3 linked regions of the Saccharomyces cerevisiae S288C genome follow. The gene in region 2 interacts genetically with the main gene of each other region. Each region holds a gene or a part of one and is shown on either strand. Other genes may lie near its edges.

Region 1 (3,158 bases), on a different chromosome or scaffold from region 2:
TTCGGTGTTGCAAGTCTAATCCTTGAGAAAGACGTATTGGGTAGGAGCAAGCCGGTATCTAAAAAGTCAATTGGCTGTAGCTCTTTTTTCTGCTTTTTGCTGCCAGGGGCAATGTTACTTGGAGTTGCCTCTTTTGGCTTTCTCTTCAAATCCCTTGGCACAGTGTATGATGGAGTGTTGAATTCCATTGATGTGCTCTGGATAGTTTTGATGCCATTAGTTTGATTGTTAGCCGTTTTTTTTTTGGTCGGTTTCTTGCCCACGGCAGATCTACCAATATCGTTTGGAATAGGTGCTGCGCTTGCAGATTCTTCTAATTTGATGTTTTCTGGGAAACTTTTCGGTATTTGTTCTGCTAACGGCTCTTCAAGCTTTGGAAGCTTTTTGTTTACTTCTTGTAACGATTTGATTTCCGTTTGAGGCAATGCTACACCTAAATCCTTCTCTTGGAATGCGAATGTATACAATGTCGCGTCGTTTGAAATGGCAAACAAGGTGAACCCATCCTGTGACCAAGACATATCGTTTATTGCGGTGGAGGAAACCTGGAGAGCATTAAACAAAGGTTTCATTCTCTTCGTATTCCAAACCAAAATAGTACCGTCTGTAGATCCCGAAGTGGCGATTAAATTATAGCGTGTGCTGGTGCCCTTTTTCAAATTAGGCTTTTCATAAAATGCTGGAGAATAAACAAGAACTCTACATCCATTTGAAGAAGGTGTTACCAGTGTTTTTGTAACTTTGTAGTTGTTATTTCTGTCAAGTAAAGCGGTACAGCTGGTAGCATTATTCGGCACACCTTTCACCGAGTTTATCACTGGTAAAATGTCTGCCTGAGGTGACATTGAGATTCTATAATGTAATGGATACATTTGTACATGCTGCGTAAGTTTATTTATGAGTTTGTGTGTACCCGTTTTGTTAATTTGATAGACTAAAATTGATCTATCTGAAGTCATAACAGTAAAAGTTTGGCCAGTAGGATCTATTATGCCTGTAATAGGTTTGCTCGCCTTGTCAATAGTTATTTCAGAGAGTTTATCAAAGGTTTTATGCCGAAATAATAGTATCTTATTTTCATTACTTAAAAGAACAAATAAGATACCTAAGTTTATGTCATATTTCACATCCGTTATTGTGCTTGGAGATTTACACTCGAACAGAAGCTTACTGTTCATTTTTTCGACAGAATTGATGTTATTTGTATCTCTACAGAGCCAACCTGAATAACCCCACAGACGATGTTCAGATCCAATATACAATGTTTCGAGATCACCTGTTATGAAAAAAATATCACCGGTAGTATCCTGATCCACCTGGAAAGAAACTTCTGGCTTTAAATCCTTAATCATAACCCTATCGAATGCAGTATCGACTAGTTGTTGTTGTCTCCACGCCATCACGTGACCCCCACTGCCTGCCAATATGATATAGGGACCAAGGGCAGCTAAGGCATTCACTTGTTCATTATGAATATCCAAAGGATACTTTAATAATCTCATTGTTCCGGATTGTGTAGGAACTCCTTTGCTGCGTGGCGTATTCCTCTGTATGGACGATTTAGCACTTTTTGTATATTGTTTTATGAAGACTTCATAATTCTAGCCGAATTAACTGATATTTTTTTCGCGCTTTTTTTTGTCGACCTTCCAGGAAGAAAAAATATGAAAGCGAATAAATGGAGGTGTATTGGCAATCCTTTATCAAATGAAAACAAGCACCAAATAGAATAAGTAAATCACATTCTTAAAGAAGTTGGTCATTCCAGATACGTGGAATTTTCCTGCTGTATTTTTTCATCAATCTTTTACTTGAGAAATACTAGCTTTTTTCAAATTATTCAAGATTAAGGGACTTAGAGAACTGATAGAAAAGCAGATCATGGGCAGTAGATCGGAGAATGTGGGAACAGTGACTAGAGAAGGCTCCAGAGTGGAACAAGATGATGTCCTCATGGATGATGACTCTGACTCATCGGAATACGTGGATATGTGGATCGATTTATTTCTTGGGAGAAAAGGCCATGAATATTTCTGTGATGTCGATCCTGAGTACATCACTGATCGTTTTAATCTGATGAACTTGCAAAAGACAGTTTCAAAATTTTCCTACGTGGTACAATATATTGTGGATGATTTGGATGATAGTATCCTAGAGAATATGACACATGCCCGTTTAGAACAATTAGAATCAGATTCCCGGAAGCTGTATGGTCTCATCCATGCACGCTACATTATAACTATCAAAGGATTGCAAAAAATGTACGCTAAGTACAAAGAGGCGGACTTTGGAAGATGTCCCCGTGTGTATTGTAATTTACAACAGTTGTTACCGGTTGGTTTGCATGACATTCCTGGTATAGATTGTGTCAAGTTATATTGTCCATCTTGTGAGGATCTTTATATACCAAAATCATCGAGACATAGTTCCATTGATGGTGCATACTTTGGAACAAGTTTTCCAGGTATGTTTTTGCAAGCATTTCCAGATATGGTACCCAAACACCCAACTAAAAGATATGTTCCAAAAATATTTGGATTTGAATTACATAAACAAGCTCAACTGACAAGGTGGCAAGAACTACAACGACTCAAGTTAGTTGAGAAACTTGAATCCAAAGATGTTGATTTGACGAAAAGTGGTGGTTTTAAAACCTAACTATTAAAGAAAGAAGAAAAAATTCGAAATGAAATCCTAGGCGAAATTGAAAACGAAAATGAAAATAATGGAGAAACTTCGTCATAAAATTGTGAAAATCAGGTATCATTTGTTCTCCTAGCATTTTCTTTCCTAGAATATTACTATTTTCTACCTCCATTCGTATTTTACTTTTCCTATTTAATATTAAATTTTTATATACCGTTATTGCCCCTTACGGCAATAATACAACCAGATAAAAGAGCGTGCTCCGAAGTTAGCCTGTTATATATCAACAATTTGCAAATGTGGTTACCCACGAATTATTGGTGTTATTTTAGTGAATAGCTTGAAATCTTTGAATGTAGGAAGCATCCTTATTTATCAAGAAATTGGAGAAGTGGCGGCATCGCGTGGAGACTGCCTATGAACTAAGAGGCGGTTTATATTTTAAAAACTCAAAAGCTGTTTGAAGACTAATCTGGAAGTACTGAAAAGAGGAGATTTACTCATTCTTTGGT
Region 2 (8,314 bases):
TAGATCCCAAAACTTTTTATGAAGAGTACGAACCAAAAGAGGGCAAAAGTTTTGATGATAACGATGATCAACAAACCAACATCGGAAGTTTTAACCTTCATTTGTTTGATATGAATTATGGTTCCATCAGCAGCAGTAGCACTAACAGCATTAGTAGCAGTGATTTAGAAGAGAAAGAAGAACAAGAGCAACTTCAAGATTTATTGGAAATAGAAAGAGAAGATTCTGCTGAGATCTTAGACGCAAGATTCAGAAACAAAGAAGATGATAAAGTGACGAAGGATATATCAAATGACAAGAAACGCAATTACTTACCGCATGAAAAAAATAACTTGAAAGCCAAGGAAGGTAAGGAAACTAGAGACGTAAGGGAGGAGGAGGAAGAATTCGATTTTGGTTTGGGAATGCTTTCGCTCAATAAAATAAAAAGAGAAGCCAAGCATGTCGATAAGGTGGACGATTCTGTAGACCCTTTATTTAAATCATCTGCTTTCCCTCAAAGTCCCATTCGAGCATACGGGTCTACCACAAGAACTAGTTCGGCTTCTGGAAAGCCATTCAGGGACAATCGTTCATTTAATGCATTTTCTGTTTTGACATTAGAAAATATGGCGTCTGCAAATGCCCTACCTCCCGTTGATTATGTCATAAAATCAATATACAGAACCACTGTGTTAGTGAACGATATCAGACTAATGGTTCGTTGCATGGATTGCATTGAATTATCTAAAAATTTACGAGCGCTCAAGAAAAAAACTATGGAAGATATTTCGAAATTGAAAGGCATCTCTAAACCGTCACCATAGACCGCTACGTCCCAGGATAGTTACTCGCACATATAAAGTTCTTAATAATCCAAGAATATGCTGCTATACATCTCAAAACGGATTGCTTCCATATGGGCGCCACTTTTCTGTTTCTTTGCTATCAAAACAGTTGGCACCAAAAAGCTACTCATTGCAAAGGTTTATTGCTTATGAAATATTGCTTTGTGAACAGATTCAACCGAAATTACCCGGTGAATATGACTATGTAAGTTATTAGTATAGGTTGCATTTGCTGTATTCGTTGATAAGACAACATCTTGTATCATACTAGTTTCCGCACACTAGTATTTCGTCTACTATTGACTTTCTGATAAGGTTATCTGGTTCCTGTATTTGCAGTTTATCGAAGCGGGCAGACCAGGTCAGCTCAGGACAATTCAAATTCAGATAATGAGGCACAGACTAATCATAACACGAAAATTGAATACATCCCACGATATAGCATAACCAAATGTCGGAACATAACTAGCAATACAATTTTTACATCGGGCCGAATCCGTCGGAGAGTGATAAGACGGAGTTAAAATATCTCTCAAAACCATGGAACAACAATATGTGTACATATATAAAGCTTTTGAGTGAAAAGATTTCTTTCCACTATTTACTGTCAATTTTATTCAACACGAAAGGGAATTAAGTGCACATAAATACTTCATTTCTTGATAAGGAAGTATAATATTGCTCCTAAGAAGAGTTTGAAATGAGCGATGTTCTATCTCAATATAAAGGGTGCTCAGTCAGAGATTTACCCACACCCAATTTCGTTATTAATGAAGAAAAATTTGATAAGAATTGTACGACAATGTTGAACAACGTTGAAAAGCTCAGCCAGGAATGTGGCGTACCAATCAAATTTCGTGCACACGTAAAAACGCATAAGACAGCAAAGGGAACTTTGAAACAATTGGGCCACGGACTTCCATTGGCTAAACGCACTACAAGAGCCATATTAGTATCAACTTTGAAAGAAGCAGAAGAACTTCTTAATTATCAAGATAGACAATGTTCGGATTATATTGACGATATAACATATAGTTTACCCTGTTGCGTTCCAGAGTTTATTCCTCTTTTGAGCAATTTGTCAAGAAGGGTGAATAATTTTCAGGTTTTTGTTGATAACATTGAACACTTGGAGAATTTAAAGAATTTCGGTAGGCCTGCTTCCGGCAAGAAATGGTCGGTTTTTATCAAGGTTGATATGGGGACTAAGAGGGCAGGTCTTGCTTTCGACTCTCCAGAATTTTTGAGTCTTTTAAAAAAACTGACTTCCTCAGAAATTAAAGAAGTAATTGAGCCATATGGGTTTTATGCTCATGCCGGACACAGCTACTCTTCAACCTCGATCAACGACACTCAGAATCTTTTGATGGAAGAAGTGAAAGCAGTCAATTCTGCCGCTAAAGTTTTGTGCTCTGTGGATCCTCAGTTTGATCCTTCTAAATTAACACTTTCTGTGGGCGCTACTCCGACTTCCAATTCTTTGAAACTCGATAATAAAAGTACCCTTGTTAAATTCATTACTACTCAATTAGTTAGTACGCTTGAAATCCACTGCGGTAATTACTGCATGTATGACCTGCAACAGGTGGCAACAGGCTGTGTCCAAGATCACGAATTGTCTGGTTTTGTATTAGGAACAGTACTATCATCTTACCCTTCTAGAGGTGAATTGTTGAGTAATACAGGTGTAATGTGTCTAACGCGAGAAGCATCCTCAATAAAAGGGTTTGGAATATGTGCTGATTTGGAACATGTGTTAAAATCCGAGAGTTTCAGTAGGGAATGGTATGTAGCAAGGGTCTCTCAAGAACACGGGATACTGAGGCCAATAAGAAACTGGAACGAAACTACTCCATTAAAATTAGGCAGCAAAATTGCCGTCCTTCCTCAACACGCTTGTATCACAATGGGACAATTTCCATATTATTTCGTGGTAAACAGCGAAGGCATTGTCAACGATGTTTGGTTACCTTTTCAGAAATGGTAAGCTCTCTTTTGTCGTTGGTTATCACTCTCATCAAAGCATCTCTGTGTCTATGTAATTGTGTATCTATTTATAAATAGTAACTAAGAGTAAGGTTGTACACAGGTTGGTCTAAACACCCTCTTGTTAAGCTTCCGCATTACCTGCGAGCTGGTAATTGTAATACAGATTTATTTGTTGATATAATGCTATGAAATTTCAACTACCGTCATTGAGCTTCTCAATAAAGTCGTTACGTACGAATGAAAAATTTGAATAATTTAAACCTTCGAAAAGATCTTTGAGTTGTACTTATTAAACCTGAAGTAGATCATTAAGACAAACAAAGCTCTGACTGACACCAATAACTCCTACAGTGATGACAGCTATCTTAAACTGGGAAGATATATCCCCTGTTTTAGAGAAAGGCACCCGCGAATCACACGTGTCTAAAAGAGTTCCCTTTTTGCAAGATATATCACAATTAGTTCGTCAAGAAACATTGGAAAAACCTCAATTATCTGAAATTGCTTTCGTTTTATTGAATACCTTCACGATTTACGAAGACAATAGGTCTAAAAGTTTGGTAACTTCAATATTGCTTGACATCTTAAATCTAGAGCCATGTCTCCTAGAAAACTTTATCCGATTCATTTCCGACGTGGTCATCAGTAATCCGGCTACCAAAGCAGTCGCTGATTACCTTAATTTGTTAGATTGGATTAATTCTTTCTTGATTTTTGTGTCGCATAATTCTAATTTATTTGAAGAGTACATTCCAAAATTGTTGGTCGCCCATTCTTATGCAACGTTCGGTGTGGAAACTATTCTTGACAATCAAGAAGAAGGCAAGAAATCCCAAGATAAGCAGAACCAGCATAGAAAGAGAATTCGTTATTGCATTTTCCAAACAACGGTCAAAGCATTCCTTAAGTGCTTGAAGGATAATGACGACAGTATTTCCTTCATGAAGATTTCAATTAAAACTGTACTGGAGAGCTACTCTAAGCTGAAGATAACCAGTGTTGGAGTAGTTATGATAATGGGTGCACTAACTCAGGCTGCACTTCAGTTATTATCGAGGCAACCAGCTCTGCACTCCGTTTTAAAGGAAAATTCTGCAGAGAAATATTGCGAATATTTGGGCAAAGAAGTGTTTTTAGGCAAAAACCCACCATCTTCCTTTTGCTTAGAGATTGGTTTGAAGCCATTTTTAAAAGAATTTGTTTCACAAGAGTTATTCATTAAGTTTTTCATCCCTAATATTGAAAAAGCAGTTTTAAGATCTCCTGAGGTTGGTTTTTCGATTTTATCTGAGTTATATGCTGGTGTTTCTCCTGAAAAAGTAAATCTCTTAAATGCCTTTGCTTCCTCGAAACTGATTAATCAATACTTCTCGTCATTTAAAAGCTCAAAAGAGGTAGTTAGATCCGTCTCGCTTCAGTCTATGATAATCTTATTGAGAAAAATTTCCAATACTGACACTACCTTGGAAGATTTGACCAAGCTTATTGACGAAATATTTAAGAACATCAAATCGAACTTAAATGCAGATTACAAATCACTTATTTCCAAAATTCTCATAGAAATACCCTTAACGCACTATGAGGTTTCAGAAAAAATCTGCAAAGGGCTGTCCCCATATATTGGTAAAGAAGGTAATGAAGCAGCCTTGACTCTAATGCTTAACGCTTTTTTTGTTCATTATTTTAGTCTGGGCAAACCTATTGAAGACTTGGATAAAATTATATCAGCTGGTTTTGCAGATAAAAAACCTGCTTTGAAAAAATGCTGGTTTGCCGCATTTTTGAACAATTCCAATGCTGCCTCTGAAGAGGTGATTTTAAACTTTATAGACGGTTGTTTGGAATTTGTGAAAGACTCCATCATACATTATCAGACTCACGGGCATGCATGTATTCTAGCATCAATTGAATTTACAAACAAAATTTTGGCATTGGACAATACTGAGCTAAATGATCGTGTTATGCAGCTCATAGAAACCCTTCCTGAAAATTCTTCGATAGGTGATGCTATCTTAACTGCTGCATTATCAACAGAGCTATCCATCGAAAACCGTATTCATGCTGTTAATTTACTACAAGAATTGTTCTACAAGAAACCCGAATTTATTGGGTTTAGCGTGATTGATGCAATTGAAAGGAGAATGCGTGTCCAAGAATTAATACCTCAACAAAATACATCCTTTAAATATGTCACTTCTGTACTACTGGCCATTACGTCTGAGTTACCTGACAAGGAAGCCTCGATAAAGGTATTAATCAATGCTCTGGTCATAGCGCAATGGAATATTTTCAACATTAAGAATGGCTGGGCTGGTTTAGTTTTACGTGCAAGGCTTGATCCAGCTGAAGTTGTCAAAGAACATGCTAGCGTTATCATGGAGAAGATTCTTGAAATCACAGGTAGTTGTGAATGGATAGATACAATTTATGGTGCATGCGGTTTGCAAGCAGCTGCCTATGCAGCATTTATTCAGCCTAATGAGTTCACACCGATCCTTTGTAAGACTATCGAAGCAGATTTAACCGCGGATGATTTCTCACGTTTATCTGAAGAGGACTTCGAAATTTTTGCAGGAGAGGAAGGTGTTCTGGTGGTTGACGTCCTGGAAGAAAGCATGAATAAGAAACTTTCCAATAAAAATTCTAAAGAGTACGAAACTCTAATGTGGGAACAAAAAATAAGGAAGGAGCAAGCCAAAAAGAATGTGAAAAAACTTTCAAAAGAGGAACAAGAGCTCGTTAATGAACAGTTAGCGAAAGAATCTGCAGTTAGATCACACGTTTCGGAAATTTCCACTCGTTTAAAGCGTGGTATTAGATTGGTATCTGAACTTTCCAAAGCTGCTTGCTTAGTCCAAAATGGCATCGCTACTTGGTTCCCCTTGGCAGTCACAAAGCTTTTGTACCTATGCTCGGAACCAAATATTTCAAAGCTAACAGAGGATGTAAATAATGTGTTCTTGCAGCTTTCTCAAAATGTCTCCGAGAGATTAGGTAATATCAGACTTTTCTTAGGTTTGGCGACTTTGCGTGTGCACAATGCTAATGGCATCTCGCAAGATTATTTACAAGAACCACTGGTTGAATTACTTACAAGAGTTCTTTTTAGGATCAAGTTCGTCTCCAACCAAGCAGCAATAGATTCCATCAGTTTGACATATATTTTACCATTGTTGATTAATGTTTTAGAAAAGGGTAAGGCGATTGCATTAAAGAATGCGGACAAGCCTGTTGTTAAGGCTGAGTTTGTTGAAGAAGATGAAGAAGAAGAACATCTGTTACTGGCCATGGAAATTATTTCTGTACACGCTGAAGCTTTTGAGGATCCTTCCATTCCGAGAATTTCCATTGTTGAAGTGTTACTATCTCTTCTATCTTTACCCTCAAAAGCGAAGATTGCTAAAGATTGTTTCAACGCTCTGTGCCAAAGCATATCTGTTGCACCAAATCAAGAAGACCTTGATATGATACTATCAAATTTACTATCACCAAATCAATTTGTCCGTTCAACAATATTAGAAACTCTTGATAACGAATTCGAATTAGAACCTTTTATGAAATATTCACCTGAAGTTTTCATTTGCAGATTTGATTCGGATCCTTCCAACCGCGAGATTGCAGATTTCATTTGGGAGTTCAACAAATTTGTAGTCAACGATGAATTACTAAAAAGCTTATTCCCACTATTCAATCAGGATGATAGTGGCTTGAGATTATTTGCGGCAAACGCGTACGCATTTGGTGCGGTAAGTCTGTTTACCTCTGAAGAGAACTCCTCGAAAGATTACTTAAATGATTTGCTGAACTTTTATAAAGAAAAGGCAAAGCCATTGGAGCCAATTCTTGATCAATTTGGCTTGGTTCTTGTTTCTGCGAGTGAACAAAAAGATCCATGGCAAGGAAGAAGTACCGTTGCTATTACATTAAAAATCATGGCTAAGGCTTTTTCTGCAGAGGATGATACTGTCGTTAACATTATAAAATTTTTGGTCGATGATGGAGGTCTAGTAGACAGAGAGCCTATTGTTCGTCAAGAAATGAAAGAAGCTGGTGTTGAATTAATTACGTTACATGGCTCACAAAACTCGAAGGATTTAATTCCTATATTTGAAGAAGCATTAAGCTCCAGTACGGACAGTGCCTTAAAAGAGAACGTTATTATTTTGTATGGTACATTAGCAAGACATTTACAGCAAAGTGATGCAAGGATTCACACGATCATTGAAAGATTGCTTTCAACTTTGGATACTCCTTCTGCGGATATTCAACAGGCTGTGTCGGCTTGTATAGCACCACTAGTTTTCCAGTTCAAACAAAAAGTTGGTGATTACTTGGGTATCCTAATGGAGAAACTGCTGAATCCAACTGTTGCTTCTTCTATGCGGAAAGGTGCCGCTTGGGGTATCGCTGGTTTAGTGAAAGGTTACGGTATCTCGGCTCTCTCGGAGTTTGACATTATTCGCAACCTCATCGAAGCTGCAGAAGATAAAAAGGAGCCAAAAAGACGTGAATCTGTTGGCTTCTGCTTTCAATATTTGTCTGAATCTCTAGGAAAGTTTTTTGAACCATATGTGATAGAAATTCTTCCAAATATTTTAAAGAATTTAGGGGATGCTGTTCCTGAAGTTAGAGATGCAACCGCTCGTGCCACTAAGGCTATAATGGCGCATACTACAGGTTACGGTGTTAAAAAGTTAATTCCAGTTGCTGTTTCTAATTTGGATGAAATTGCTTGGAGAACTAAGAGGGGCTCTGTTCAATTGTTGGGTAATATGGCTTATTTAGATCCTACTCAATTGTCAGCTTCTTTGTCCACCATTGTCCCAGAAATTGTTGGTGTATTGAACGACTCTCACAAAGAGGTGCGTAAGGCCGCTGATGAATCCTTGAAAAGATTCGGTGAAGTTATCAGAAATCCGGAAATTCAGAAATTGGTGCCCGTACTTTTGCAAGCTATCGGTGATCCAACAAAATACACTGAAGAGGCCTTGGATTCGTTAATTCAAACACAATTTGTCCATTATATTGATGGTCCTTCACTAGCACTAATTATTCATATTATTCATCGTGGTATGCATGATAGATCTGCCAACATTAAGAGGAAAGCATGTAAGATCGTGGGCAATATGGCCATTTTGGTTGATACCAAAGATCTCATCCCATATTTACAACAGCTGATAGATGAAGTGGAGATTGCTATGGTGGATCCAGTTCCAAATACTAGAGCCACAGCAGCACGTGCTTTGGGTGCTTTGGTAGAAAGGTTAGGTGAAGAGCAATTCCCAGATTTGATTCCTCGTCTACTAGATACCTTAAGTGACGAATCAAAATCTGGTGATCGTCTCGGTTCTGCTCAAGCTCTAGCTGAAGTTATTAGTGGCTTGGGCTTGACCAAGTTGGATGAGATGTTACCAACCATTTTAGCTGGTGTAACCAATTTTCGTGCTTATATCAGGGAAGGATTCATGCCTTTGCTGCTTTTCCTTCCTGTTTGTTTT
Region 3 (7,026 bases), on a different chromosome or scaffold from region 2:
CATTGTCTTGATATTCGTATCCACTGACTTGTGTTCCCTATTGGTCTTCTTCTCTGTAGCTAGTTTACCTTTCCAACGGCCATCTTGCACTTCTAAATTCTGTATTGATAAACTAGTTCCTAACCGTCTAATTTGGAATCGTGATACGAAACCGAATGTGCTAGTCAAACTTCTGAATGAAAGCATTCTTCACGCCATATTATGATCATTTATTAAATGTCTCCCGTAGGAGCTAGAGGAGCCTCACACAACATACGCACACATTTATATTCACCGAAAAATTAAATACAAAATGGAAAGTAGAGAAAGGAGAGAAGAAGTAGACCATCTCATTAAACCTACATTTGTCTTTAGTATCAGGAATATGTATAAGAAAGGTGACCTACCCCCTTTACAACGGTGAATTAGATGAATCAGCTAGCCTAAATATAGTATCTAAGACATTGTATATACTTTACCTTTAACTGATGCGTTATAGCGCCGCACAGATCTTTAAAGGCCTACCTCTGTAAATCGATAACAGATGATTTTCCGGTTTTGTGGCAGTATAATATTGCCCACCTATTCCCTTTATGAGCCTCTTTGGAGAGGTTATTATAAATGCTCGTGGCAAAGCTTCTAGGAGTCGAGTTATTACCTGACCCAAAAACTTTTCTCAGCCATTCTTCCTTCTGAGCCAAAGAAGTAATTGAGATTATTTCTAAAGTTTCATCTCTTAAGGCATCAACAGTGATAATTGGTGCATTGGATAAATTGTGTAATATCATATTCGAAGAATTTCTGGCTGCATCCTCATAAACCCACTTTTCCCTTTTATTAGCTTTCTTAGATCTTGTAGCCATGTTTGGAACATAAATTACCTTTTGATTATTAGTCGAACCAGCAACAACATCATCTATGTCACCTTCTTGACTACTACCGGCACTGCTGTTTTCATCCCATCTTTTAAATTCATCAGCCTTATCGCCCAAAGTGAGACTATCGTTGATCAAAGATTTATTACCAGTTTCTTGTTGGTACAAGGTTAAAAACTCATCAAGATCTAAATCTATGTCAACATTAGTGCTCAATTTTTTTATTTTTAATGGCTTGTACTTTCTCTTGTGATTGGTTAGTGGATACGCTTGTTGCTTAATCAGCAAAATCCAGTCTATACCATCCTGTTGAGCGCCAGTAACGACATCATCCACCGAGGAACAATCCCTTAACATATCCGCTTTAATGTTTTGCTTCCACAATGTATTCAGTATTGTAACCCCGATTGTGTCCAACAAAGAGTTCGAAAAACTCGATATCAATACATCACACCTGCTTGGCTTCCAATCAACAGCTGTATCTTTCAAAAACCTATTTCTCTTCTTTATCCTATTTCCAGAAGCGAGTTTGAAATAGTTTTGGGCTATACCGAATATTGTTTCCCACGCTAAGTTGAAACCTACAGCCTTACGAGTATTGCTGCTCTTTTTTCCTGATGGTCTGGCAAAAAAGGATATCAAAGTGTCATACCTCCCTCCAGCAGCTATCATATTACGTGAGGATCCATCGTCATAAACTGCATGAAACATGATACCTCCTTTGTAAAAAGCGCTATTGTAGTTACTCAAAGGAGATATCACAACATTTCTTGCAACTTCTAAGGGTTTTAGGTAACTGAGAACCTTTGATATATGGGACAAAGAGTCCTCAATTTTTTTTAGATGCGGACTATCAATCATCAATTTATACAGGCGTTTTTTGGCTGCTTCGAAGTCCAGTCTAAAATCAAATAACTCCAAATCATTCAATGCCGTAGAAGATATGTTCAGTTGCGCCTTTAGTTCATTCTTTACTTCCTTGAAGGACCTTGCAAAGCCTACTTGCGACAACATTCGTGAAACTAGAGGCCTTTGGGCTTTATCAATATTTGTAAAGTTGAAAACACTCTCCAAAATATCAGCATGATTTAATATGAAAAAAGTGTTTGTTTTCTCAAATACAGGAAATACGGTTAATATTTCATCGATAATTTTCAAGCTTTCTGCATCATAAAATCCTGACTCTGAGGAAGATTTTGAAATTATGTCGAAGTCAATCTCACCAAACTTTCTAGGTTCCAAACTTGACCTTGAATGATCAGGAGGTCGGTAAACGTGCTGCATCCTATATTGCTTAGAAATCAGACTTGGATTTTTAGATAGATACCTAGCCATAGGATAAGTTAAATCATATTGTAACTGCAAGACGGTACCGCCCTTGTCAAGCACTTCATATACATTCTGCGTACCGTATATGGGGGCCTTTGGAAAAATCCTCGGAGGAGCATTATTTTCAATTCCTCCATGTTTCCTGAAAATTTTAACTACCTCTTCTGTCATTTGGGACCTGAGAATGTTTGCGAAAGGAGTGGATGTTGGAACTGAGTTATCAAATAGAATATCATTTGTTAGACTGTAAGATTGGTTAAATAAACTTTCTCGAACTTGCTGTTGCCAAGGGGATGAAGGATTCGACAAACTTTTTAAAGCCTCTTTGATTACTTCATCCTGATGCTTCACAGGAAGCCAACCACTATTTAATAATGTCCTAGCACCAGGCCTTTTATTGGGATCATGGTCTATGAGTAACCTTATAATTTTCTTTTCAACTTTCATCTTATTATCGTCGAAATCAGGAGGAAATTCTATCGACACTGATCGTAACTTTTTCAAAATATTAACTCTCTCCATACCTGTACTGAAAGGATAGATCATTTCAAAAAAAATGATTCCAAGTGAATACATATCAATCTTTTCATTATAGTGACCTGTACCATCTAAAACTTCAGTAGCAACATACATTGCTGTACCAATGGCGGATGTTAAATTATCTGAGCTGCCTGGCAAATTCTGTGAATCTAGCTTAAGTATATCCAGAGATCTATGGACGTTCTTAGCTAACCCAAAATCACCGATTTTAACATTTCTCGATTCATCTATAAAAATATTCATTGGCTTCAGATCCCTATGAATGATACCCTGGGAATGTATATAACTCAGTGCTTCCAAAATTTGTCGAAATAACCTCCAATATTCATCACGTTGTTGATTTAAATTTTCAGAATGGATCAAATCATATAGCGTTCTATTTTCACAGTACTCCATTTGAATAAAAAGCGTACTTTTCTTCTTAACAGCAGTCATCGGTTTTACAAAATTCCTCCTTCTTGGAACGTTCTGGATACTCTTTGATTCTTTATCAGTATCATCTTGACTTTCGCTCGAGGAAGTCGAGGAAGTATCATGGTCTAGATCTTCATTTTCATCATCACGAGAACTATTTTCAAAGACAATATCCGGATATCCTGACCCCGATATGAAATCCCAGTTACTATTATCCAAATCGTGATTTGTTCTATTTTTAAAAATACTGCTTTGATCTAATAAATCATTTTCCTCAAAATCAGAGGAAGATTCGCTCAAGTCACTTTCTTCATCAGTTGATTCAAAAACGTTTTCATCCATACTGTCTTCTTCTAACCATGCAGCATAGTAACGCACAACATATTGATGATTTAAGCTTGCTAACAGCATTACTTCACTCAATATAGTAGATAACTTTTCTTCTGTATGTCTAATCTTCTTGATCGCATAGTATCTGCTATCGAGAGCATTACGTGCCTTGACAACTTGTCCAAATGCGCCCTGGCCTAAAACTGCAATCTCTTCAAAGTCAGAAGCATATCGTGATCGCGTTGCAGGATTTATAGAAGAGAATCTGGAACCAACATTAAATGATCTTCTTCGTATACTCGATTGTGAAAGTGTTCTACCTCCATTGCCCCGAACGGTTATGGTATCTCCAGGAGTTAACTCCAAGGAATTAGAATTGACACTTTCGGAAACTAAGTTAAATCGATTGATTGTAGAGTCAATATTGGTCCTTAAGAATTTCATGGGCAGTAGTTCTAATGTTCCTAATCTTTTCTTCGGATCGTTATTAAGCATTTTCGAAAGAAGATCATATAAAGTTTCATCCATACTTGTTGAATCTAGGAATTCTTGAGGCGTTTCAAAATTCATCACTATATCAGATCCACTGATTATCTGGATAAACAAAACACCAAGTTGCCAAATATCAGTTAATCTTTGAGGTTTGGCGTTATTGAATTTCAACAACTCAGGGGCTATCCATGTACTTGGAGATAACTCAACCGAAGAACCATTTTTATTTGGATATCTCGATAGCATATTCAAAACAGTGTAGCCATAAGTGGAGTGAACTAACTTGGGAATAGTGCTTCCAAAATCTGCATCCTTCACCAGGATCACGGTTTCTAAGTTGATACATTTATGAACAATTCCCAATTTGTGTATGGCCTCCAATCCTTCAAGCAATCTAATCATCCAAATACGCGCTGTTGCTAAGTTAACAAATCCAACAGATTGTATCAAATCTCCCAATGGATAGTAGTTACAGTACTCTGTCAAGAGTCTTATTTTCCAAACAAACGTTGCATTATTTCTCCCCATGCGCTCCACCGTATAACCGAACAATCGATTCACATTGTCATGCTTAGCTTTCAACACCGTCTCTAACTCTTTCTCTAAATTTGCTATTTCTTTTTTTCCATTACTTGTGTTGAAATAGCTATTATCCAATTCAATTTCAGATAGCAAATAGTAGAAATTTTCCATCATTTCAGAAGACATTAAAAAATCTGCCAACGGAGATTCTGGTGGTATATAAGGCTTCACAAGAAATTGTTTGGAAAAACTAAATATATCTGATGTCAGTTTTATTGGCTTAGGATTTACAACTGCTTTAAACTTGAACATTGAGTTATTAGGCAATTTTGCCTTTATAGTTTTTGAAAAGACAATAGCTTCACCTGATGCAACCCATTCTGAAGGTGGTTGTAAATCTAACTGGGTTGTTCTGTTGAATAGCAAATCATCATCATCATCTTGTCTTTTCTCCAACTCTCTTTGAACAATTTCATCTATCCTTCGCTGCTCATCTGATCTTTTTTTTATTGTTTCCTGTTGTTTTTCTCTTTCTTCCTTTTCTAATTGTTCTTTAGTTTCTTTGATTCTTTGTAATCGATCATCTTCCAAGGACTGTGTATTTACCACATTTTGAAATTCGTCCAGTTTTTCTTGAGTAAAAGATGTAATTTCAAATATAATCTCTTGGCCTCGGGAGGTGTTGTGGATTTTCTTAAATTCACTTTTCAGCATTTGCAATTGACTATCCATTACATTTTGTACATTTTTGAATTCTATTTCTGGAGCGGTATAAGGATACATTGGGGTCATCGCAAAATGTAATGTTATAGAAGATTCAACCGGCTCTTTGTCAACAGATCGAAGCGTAATTTCGAATATAATCTGTGGCTGCTTATCCCAGCTAGACTTTCTTTTAGTTAAGTCAGTAAAGTCATCCATATAAATGGAACGTATCGCTTCAAGTTCGTTGCACTGTATTTCATAATATTGATCTAAAGTGAGATGACTCAATGACATTTATACATAGTATGTGTTAAGGGGAACGGAAAATTATTGAAAAAAAAAATCAATGCTTATAAAATCTTAAAAGACAACGAGGCTTTCCAACAATGTAAAGATTGAAAATTTAGTGTATTTAATGTCCTTTTGTAATGAAAATAACTTCTTGTAAGAAAGAAGATAGAGATAAATGTAAAAGTAAATTTGCTTAAAAAGATTCTAGGCTGTTTATAGATTGATTACACCAGGTTCTTATCTCAAAAATCAGCTACTCAACTGCTTCCTAAGAAACTACCTACATCACTATAGTCCAACTTAAAACAAATAATAAACTTCTAAGGCTTTCGTGTAAAGTGATGTTGGGATTGTCCGATGAAATAACAAGCAGGCCCTTGCACGTCAAGATTAATTTGAATAAAGAAGTAACATGTCATCTTTATGTAATCGCTGTTATTCCATACAGAACAATAAATACGTATATTTCGTATGTCATGTGGAGTATATATTCTTTTTTATTCTTACATACCTTCATCGGACAAAGGATGTAATTCCTCATCCGGGATCCTCTGATGGGTGACTGCTTCCTCCAGGGTGACATCTGAATCGTCCATCAATGGTTTGAACGGAAGAGGATCATCAATGGGTGGGAAGATTCTTCTGTAGAAAAAGTGTGCCATTATATAACCCAACATAGACCCTAAAATTACATCGACGAAATGATGTCTGTAATCTTGAGTTCTGGATAGAGCAATTAGTGCAGCTCCTAACAGTGGTAGAAAGGCCACCATTTTTCTCCATAAAGGCATCAACGGTGATTCAGTCAAAAGTTGCCCACATAGCCAGAAGTACAAATAACCCAGTCCTGCAAAGCTTTCACTTGAATGACCTGACGGAGTTGTCCTAAACCCATCCAACAGACGTTCGTGATTCTTAGTCGTACACACATCTTTTGCAGTAAATAAAGTGTCCAATGGCAAGCCTTCAACAGGTTGGCAACGATCTAGAAAATCTGGTCTTAGTCTTCCAATCCAATTCTTGATGAAGTTTGTAAAGAAACTCGTACTGAACCAAGCGAGTGATAAACCAAGGAGAGATGTGTACAAAATAAAAATCAAATGTCTTCTATCGGCCAAAATGGAACCAATTATCAATATGGTTAAAGATGGCACGACAAAACTATAAACAAACAACATGTTGTTATTTACACGTTCAGTTGTCGCATAAGGATGCGATATAGTGAGATCGTTAATGTAAAACTGACGTTCGAACGGTTGTTGGTAATACACTGGGTAGTTAAGAAGTATCATGATAATGAGCAAAAAGACATCTTCTAATCTCCATTTCGCCCCTATGTTGAAAGGCGTTTTAATAAACGAAACTCTGTTCATTTTGGTCGTTTGCTATGATTTAATTCTGATTCTTTGCCTTTAACAATTGATAACGTGCCCTTTATTGAACTGCTAACTACTCGAAAAATTGGACACAATTCAGTTTATAGCAGGTGTCCTTTAAGTGATGTTTGCTGATTTCCGAACTGCGCGTATGTTAGTGGACCCTAGATAAC

The links. A genetic interaction does not mean that the proteins touch.
Region 1: mutations in GCN1 (region 2) and CKB2 together harm fitness more than expected from each alone (negative genetic interaction), as found in Saccharomyces cerevisiae (4 studies listed by BioGRID).
Region 3: of GCN1 (region 2) and GCN2, a mutation in one rescues a mutant of the other (synthetic rescue), as found in Saccharomyces cerevisiae (4 studies listed by BioGRID, with this or other methods).

The regions. Positions count from the first base shown.
Region 1 is NC_001147.6:403,887-407,044, forward strand, and holds CKB2 (casein kinase 2 regulatory subunit CKB2), read left to right. Parts: upstream 1-1,881; coding exon 1,882-2,658; downstream 2,659-3,158. Other genes in the region: HIR2 (Hir2p), read right to left, coding at 1-1,502. UniProt on the Saccharomyces cerevisiae protein: Regulatory subunit of casein kinase II/CK2.
Region 2 is NC_001139.9:128,356-136,669, forward strand, and holds the start of GCN1 (Gcn1p), read left to right. Parts: upstream 1-3,169; coding exon 3,170-8,314. Other genes in the region: MDS3 (Mds3p), read left to right, coding at 1-806; D-serine ammonia-lyase DSD1, read left to right, coding at 1,528-2,814. UniProt on the Saccharomyces cerevisiae protein: Ribosome collision sensor that activates a translation quality control pathway when a ribosome has stalled during translation. Directly binds to the ribosome and acts as a sentinel for colliding ribosomes.
Region 3 is NC_001136.10:1,024,570-1,031,595, forward strand, and holds GCN2 (serine/threonine-protein kinase GCN2), read right to left. Parts: upstream 5,481-7,026; coding exon 501-5,480; downstream 1-500. Other genes in the region: MRX10 (Mrx10p), read right to left, coding at 1-186; DPP1 (bifunctional diacylglycerol diphosphate phosphatase/phosphatidate phosphatase), read right to left, coding at 5,981-6,850. UniProt on the Saccharomyces cerevisiae protein: Metabolic-stress sensing protein kinase that phosphorylates the alpha subunit of eukaryotic translation initiation factor 2 (eIF-2-alpha/SUI2) on 'Ser-52' in response to low amino acid, carbon, or purine availability.